Linked DNA regions of Oryctolagus cuniculus. The protein of the gene in region 2 purifies or fractionates together with the protein of the main gene of each other region. This does not show direct contact. Links are inferred from orthologs where the notes say so. Each region holds a gene or a part of one and is shown on either strand. Other genes may lie near its edges.

Region 1 (3,812 bases), on a different chromosome or scaffold from region 2:
CCAACTCTGCGTCGTACCAGCCCCCAACCTGACAGTTTCAAAAAGGAAAATTATGGCCTCTGTATAATTAATTTAAGAATTTTCAAATGTTTGGGGTGGAAAAGAAAATATTATAGTTAGAAAAGATGCCACTTATTTTGAAGATTGATTATTTGAGGCAGAGTTACAGAGAGGGAGAAACAGATATTTCATCTGGTGGTTCACTCCCCTGCAATGCCTGCAGTGGCTGGGGCTGGGCCTTGCCAAAGCCAGGACTGTTGTCTATGTCTCCCACATGGGTAGCAAGAACCCAAGCACTTGGGCCATCTTTTGATGCCTTTCCAGGCGTGTTAGAGAACTGAATTAAAAGTGGAATAGCTAGGGCCAGCGCTGCGGCTCACTAGGCTAATCCTCTGCCTTGCGGCGCCTGCATACCGGGTTCTAGTCCCGGTCAGGGCGCCAGATTCTGTCCCGGTTGCCCCTCTTCCAGGCCAGCTCTCTGCTGTGGCCCGGGAGTGCAGTGGAGGATGGCCCAAGTGCTTGGGCCCTGCACCCCATGGGAGACCAGGAGAAGCACCTGGCTCCTGCCTTCGGATCAGCGCGGTGTGCCGGCCGCAGCGGCCATTGGAGGGTGAACCAACGGCAAAGGAAGACCTTTCTCTCTGTCTCTCTCACTGTCCACTCTGCCTGTCAAAAAAATAAAAAATAATAATAATAAAACAAAAAAGGTGGAATAGCTAGGATTTGAACTTGTGCTTACATGGGATACTTAACCCACTATGCCACAGTGCCAGCCAACAATTTTGATTATACAAAAAATTAAAGTTTATTTGTTTTGGCTTAATACAGTTAGTAAGGACATGTTTATTCTAACAAAAGTTTAAGGCCCTAAACTTCCTTTCTTTTTTTAAGATTCATTTATTCACTCCCCAAATGGCCACAACAGCTAGGGCTTGGCCAGGCAGAAGCCAGGGCCAGGGTCTTTTTTGGGTTTCCCATGTGCTTGGCCATCTTCCACTGTTTTTCTAGGTGCCTTAACAGGGTGCTGGATGGGAAGTGGAGCAGCCAGGACTTGAACCAGCATTCATATGGGATGCCAGTGCCACAAGCAGTGGGTTTACCTGCTATGCCATAGCGCTGACCCCTCTCTTTATAACTTTGATTTCAAATAAATAAATACATCATTTAAAAAAATCTTTTTTAATGAGATTTGAATTTTTCTTTGATGGATATAAATGCTGACATCTAGACCAAACTTTGTATTGCATGGCTTCTATTTGTGCTGTTAACCAAGAGGAAGACAAAACTCTCAGTACCAGGAAAAGTTATGGCACCTTTTATAAGAAAGGGACTCAGAAACTGCTGGCTTTGAGTTTTGCTCATGCTCCAAGCCCAAGTCCCACAGGAAAACACATGGCTCCTGCCTGATCTGGCAGAGGCAGGAGCTGGGGAGGGGCTCCGTCTTGGTGTGCAGCACACCTGTGAGAACAGGTCTTTGTGATTCTTAAAGAGATCCTAAAGGGGAGGTGGGTCTGTAGAGTCTGCCTTTGATATTGCTGAGCAGGAACAGGGCCCCTCTGCCTGTGGTAGGTAAGTTAAGAGAGGAATGGAGCTGGGTAACTTGGTAATCAGCCAAGATCTAAGATCTCAAGAGTTTTATGTCAAGGATGTTACCTTTTAAAGGTTTGTTTAGGGCAGTATTAAGTTTAATTAAAAATAATTTGCCACAAAACTTAAATAGGGTAACCTGTGTGTGTTAAGCAAATGTAATTATAGCATTTCTATTATTTATATGCCATTTAAAACCTTAGTGTTAATAACAGCATTTGTTCTGGTTGTTTTCTGAAACAAAATCAGTTCGTGAGAGTGTTCAATCAATTGTTAACTGCTCCCACAGGAAATTAAATGCATGTTCTCTAGATTTTTGTTTCCTTAAACATGAGCTATTCATGGTGCAGTGTTTGGGACTGAAAAAAATTTAATTACTTACCCAGGCTACAATATTAAACCTAGTACCTGGATCATTATTTTTTGGCAATTTTTAATTGCCACAAAATTTGACATTTGCCTCCTTTTGGGGAACATTGTTGTTGCTTGAGGATTTTAGGGAGTACTTAAGTTTGCTAATTGAGAAACTTAACAGGAAGGCCTGCTGGCAGGATCACAGGATCATTAACAGCAGACTTGGCTGTTACTGAATATCTTCAAGACAGTGCAGAAGGAACCCTTTTTCTTTAGCAGCACTTTCCTCTAGCTACTCATTCTCCTATTATATACGAAATCAGAGCAAGTGAGATGTTATTTTGCTAAAAAAAAAAAACGTTACTTTGGGAGATCTTCGGCTTTAAATAGTGGTTTGTTGTTGCTCTTAATGGAAAATGTTTTAAGAGAAAATTTCATGATGCCTTGAAGGAGATGGTTTTCAGACTGTAAATGTCTGGCAGATCTCTGAGAGATCCCAAAATGTGACAAAACTCTCCTTTGTTCTAGGTTATACTACTCCAACTGCCCCCCAGGCATACAGCCAGCCTGTCCAGGGGTATGGCACTGGTGCTTATGATACCACCACTGCTACAGTCACCACCACCCAGGCCTCCTATGCAGCTCAGTCTGCATATGGCACTCAGCCTGCTTACCCAGCCTATGGGCAGCAGCCCACAGCCACTGCACCTGCAAGGTAAGACCTCACTCACGTGCTCCTCCTAACTACAGTACATCAGCCTCGGATTTGCGGGAAAGAAAGCAGCTGTGCAGGGTTGGAGAACCTGTAGCTTAGTTCTTTAGAGTTGCTACTCTCATGCTGTTAGTGTTGACTGTGTTCTTAGCCATTACAGTGATTAATGTGCTGAAACACACCTCAAAAGAATAACCAGTTTACCGATAAAATGGTGACGTGCAATGGCCAAAATAAGCAGTGTCACTGAATGTGTTGTCAGGTTTCAGAATGGCGACCTTCGGGAGGCTGCTGTTTTTACTCTTCTAAACCCAAGAGATTTGAGTGTTGTCCCTGACAACATACTAATTGATGGGATTATATTTCTGATACTTTTATTGGCCTGCAGTGGATAATAGCTTTCTCCCTGGGATCAGCATGGTAGTTCACAATTCAGGATGTTGAGTAACATGATGTGAGTCTAGAAAGAGTTGTGTGATCCAGCTGTCCATGAAGGACGTATCTGTGGTACAGAAAACCTAGCACTACTGCCTGAGTTTCAGCAGTTGATGTGATTGTCTCTTCATATGTAAAGGCTCTGTAACCTAAATATCATAGCCAAGTATCAATTCTCATCTGGTACCCGACTGTGGGATTAATATTAAGTCCAACAGAACTCATGCCTCATGACTGGGTAGCAGGTAAATAGTATTAATCACTACTTAACAGAAGATTTCAGGTCTTTGCTTTAGACAGTGCACTTAGGTCGCTTCTGCATACAGTCTTGAAGGAACACTGAATTCTGATTTGAATGAAGACTTTTAGGGACTAAGCACGATCAACTTGTAACCTAGACTTTTTGTCTGCTGTAGAGGTAAGAAATTAGCTGTGTCAAACGCTCGAAAGCACTTCTAAAATGCACAGTGAGTAATCAGAGCCGCCTGGTGGTTTGCACCTGATAGATAGCCTGTGCAGCAGTTAGGTTAAACTGCCTGGTTAATTCCCAGATGGGCCCCATTTCAGTTGACCTAGGTTCTTCAGCGTTACCAGGTAAACAGAGTCCCATTTGATGCTGAGATGGAACAGTATATCCGGGCCATAACTGGAGGATTTTATGTATGAACTGATTTTTTGTTAAGTCATCCTTTTTGGTTCTTTGTTAATTTTCAGTCCTTACCAC
Region 2 (3,580 bases):
GAATTTTTTTATGACCCCTTGTAGATGAGACGGATGGTCTCAGAAGCTGAAGGATAACAGAGGCTTAGTTAAGATGCTGGTCAAGACTCCCATGTCCCCTATCAGAGTCCCTGCTTCAACGCCCGTCTCCAGCTTCCTGCTAGTGTGGACTCTGCAGACCCTGGGCGGGGAGGGGGCAATGGTGATAGCTCAAATCACTGGACTCCTGTCAGCTGCATGGGAGACCAGAATGGAGTTCCTGACTCCCAGATTTGGCTCCAGTCATTGTGGGCATTTGGGGGCGTGAATTAGCAGATGGGAGCCCTCGCTCTCTGTGTCTCTCAAGAAGAAGGAGAAGGGGAAAGGGAAGAGAAAGAGGAGGAAGAGAAGGAGAGGGAGAAGGGGGAGGAGAGGGAAGAGGAGGGAAGATGGATGAGGGGGAGGAGGAGAAGGGGGCGGGAGAGGAGGAGGTGGGGGAACAGCTGAAACCAAACCCAAATCCGAACACTCCAGCAGCCTGACCAAGCACTCGGCAAGTCCATCCCACAGGGATTCCTCCCCAAAGGCGGGATGTCCTCCGACAGGTCTCTGGGCTGCTGGGTGCTCCCAGGCTGTCTGTCCGTGGCCTCCCTTTCTGGAGCATTCTAGGGGAGCACCTGAGCTTCTGCCCCAGCTCCAGGCTCTTCTCACCGGGACCCTGACGGTGCGCAGGGGAGATACTCACAGCCCAGCCCCGATTTCCCTGGCTGTGACACAGGGTGCTGCTTCTCCCTTAGGCTCCCACTGCCCTCCCGCTCTGAGCCCCAGGAACGCACGACTTCCCATCGCTTCGTTCTCATGTGTGTTTATTGGGCGCTCACAGAGTCTGTGGTCCTATGCTCAGGGTTCGGAGCCACGGTCTAGTGCAAAGACGACCAGAGCTAGTACAGAGAACGTTTCAGAGCTGCTTAACATCTGGTAAGGGGCAGGGGAGGGGCAACTAATCACAAAACAAAGTCCTATTCGAAAGCAACAGAATCTCCTCTGAGAGTAATATATGTTCTACGCACACGCACGCACGCACGCACGCGCACGCACACGACCCTCCGGAGAATACCCACTTGGTCGTATATGCATGCATATACAGGCGTCTGTGGGTAGATAAACTAGTGTAGATGCTGTAGGCACGCACACGCACGCACACACCACCGCACAGACAGATAATCTGGCTTATGCTATCAAAGACACCAAGTCTCCAGGTTCTAGTGGGAGCAATCTGTCCTAGATGCCTGCAGCATGCAAAGAGTCACAGTTAAGGAGGACAAGGGGGGATACACGGGTTCTTTTCCAGCTTCGGGGCCCCGGCCACAGCACATGAGGTTGCTCTTTCTTGGCGCCAGCAAAGCCTTCGTGAGGGGCTCCCGGGGCAGAGCGGACGAGCCCAGGGCCCTCTGTCCGTGGCCGGGCCCCCAATCTTCAAGGCAGAGTTGCTAACTCTGGTTTTCGAGTGTGTAGTCCTGCTAACAGGATTCCTTAGGACAGCGCGGCAGATGGAAGTGAGAGGTTTTTTTTTTCTCGCTCGCTCTCTGCGGCTTCCCACATGTGCTAACGCATTTTGTAGTCATTAGATACAGATGTTTCACACAGCTGTCCCTTAAAATCCAGGTCTACTGTGAAATCGAGGTCTCGCTGCAAAGAGAGAGAGAGAGAGAGCAAAGAGGCCCAGCGTTAGTCTGGGCCGGTGCTCACAGCCCCTCCCTGGCCTTGGGCTGCCTCGCAGTGCCCCGGGGATGGGTAGCCCTAGTTTCCTCAAGGTTTCCTAGCAAAGAAGTTCCCCGGAACAGCCCTCAGGAATCTGGCGCCTCATTATCCTCACAGGAAGTTTTTTTGATGCCTAACCTAAATTCTTCCTGTTCTAAAATAAAAATATTCCCTCTGACGTCATCCTGGGGTTCTAGAATCTTCCACAGCACAACCTTCTGAGTACTCGGTAGATGTTTAGTGCACGTGTCCACAGCCAGGGTTGCTCACAGAGAATCAGATTTGTCTTCAGTCCACCAGGACTGCTGAAGACAGGCCAAATATCCTCTAGGGCACCACAGACTCCTAGCTCCTGGCCTTGCTCGTCCTAAATGAGGTAGACGCCTCCCACACAGCAACCTCCGCTCTCAAGCTCTCTGATTGCAGAGCTGGAAGCTGTCCCCAAGGCTGAGAGGTCACAGCAGACTACTGAGTCTTTAGGGGCCAGGGCTGCAGGCTCTGAACTACGCCTGGTCACATCCACACATGGCCACCGCCTGTCTTCCCCAGTGACTTCTCTGACTATGTGCAAGACCCTCAAGAACCTGGGCAGGTGGGCCCTGGAGCTCCACGGGCCCCTTCTCCTTGCTGGCCCCGGCCACACAGAGGCTGGCTGCCTTGGTACTCACCACATTTTTGGCGTTTGGCTTCATGGTTATGGTCCCGTAGATCTCCTCCCCTCTCCGGACAGTGAGGTAGTCTTCCAAGTAGAAGACGGTCTGCTTCCAGTGGGTGTAGGGGGCATCGGGGGCTGGAGGTGAAGGACGGGACAGGTGAGAGGGAAGAGTCAGAGAAGAAGTCTCCAGAAAGAGGAGGCTGGGATCCCACGTAGGAGTGCAGGCTTCCCAGGGGACTCGGTGGAGCCACCGAACCCAACGCTCTTGTTGAGTAGGGGGAAGCTTCCAGACCCCACCAGAACTTTCCACTCAGTCCCGCTGCCCTCTCTTTCCACCAGATTTCCATCCACTCGAGACTGCGGACCAACACTCGGGCTCAGAGGAGAAACCAACTCCATACCAAGGAGCGATGACGAATGCCTCCAGCCAACCTCAGTAGCACAGATGAACTCCTGAAATGGCACTGTTCCACAGGGTGAAGACTTTTACACAGTGCGGGGGAGAGGTTGGCAGAGCAGCCCGTCCTGTCTCCCCTTAAACGACAGCTTTGTGCAAATTCCACAGCTACACCACTTCCCTCAGCTCCTCCGTTTGCCCATGAACTTGCTGCTGCATCCGACAAACGGCTTTCCCTGCCCGCGGCTCTGGGCCCTGAACTGAACGAGCACGTTGGCCCAGGCCTGCTGTGAGGTTCCAACCGTGCTTTCCTAACTGGGTCAGAAGAGATGAAGGAGGATTCTCGAGGCACCAGTGCCGGCCCCCAGCTTGGTCACCAAAGCCACGACGATGCTTGCACTTCTGCATTTGCCCCAGTGAGCCCCACCCACCAGCTCTGCGCACTTTGTATCTTCCCCCAGCTAAGTGTGCGTGCTCCTGCCTTAGGGGTCGTCTTTTCCTGCCTCAGGGGCCGTCTTCCCCATCCTCTGCAGCAGCTGGCTTTGGAACACTCCCCCTCGCTCCTTCACCAGCCTCTCTGCTCCTCCTCACTCAAGGTCATTTCCTCTGGGAAACCTCGTTCAATTACCCAAACCTGGAGGAGGGGCCCCCAGAGAATCCTGAGCTTGTGTGAGAACGGTGTCTAGCACACTGGGGATGCTTTTGCCTCCGCCCCCCCAGTTGTTTGCTTCCTCTACAGGGCTGCAGCCTCCGTGAGGCCAGAGCTCCCCAGGAGCAGATACCTTACGCTGCTTCACTGTACCCATCAA

The links.
Region 1: the proteins of PRMT8 (region 2) and EWSR1 purify together in Homo sapiens (affinity purification with mass spectrometry; 3 studies listed by BioGRID and IntAct, counting the BioPlex papers as one, with this or other methods). This does not show direct contact. The link is inferred for Oryctolagus cuniculus from reciprocal best matches to the Homo sapiens genes PRMT8 and EWSR1.

Annotation. Positions count from the first base shown.
Region 1 is NC_091452.1:22,698,221-22,702,032, forward strand, and holds part of EWSR1 (RNA-binding protein EWS), read left to right. Parts: intron 1-2,469; coding exon 2,470-2,656; intron 2,657-3,812. UniProt on the Homo sapiens protein: Binds to ssRNA containing the consensus sequence 5'-AGGUAA-3'. Might normally function as a transcriptional repressor. EWS-fusion-proteins (EFPS) may play a role in the tumorigenic process.
Region 2 is NC_091440.1:105,797,870-105,801,449, forward strand, and holds the end of PRMT8 (protein arginine N-methyltransferase 8), read right to left. Parts: intron 2,510-3,580; coding exon 2,388-2,509; intron 1,648-2,387; coding exon 1,564-1,647; 3' UTR 808-1,563; downstream 1-807. UniProt on the Homo sapiens protein: S-adenosyl-L-methionine-dependent and membrane-associated arginine methyltransferase that can both catalyze the formation of omega-N monomethylarginine (MMA) and asymmetrical dimethylarginine (aDMA) in proteins such as NIFK, myelin basic protein, histone H4, H2A and H2A/H2B dimer.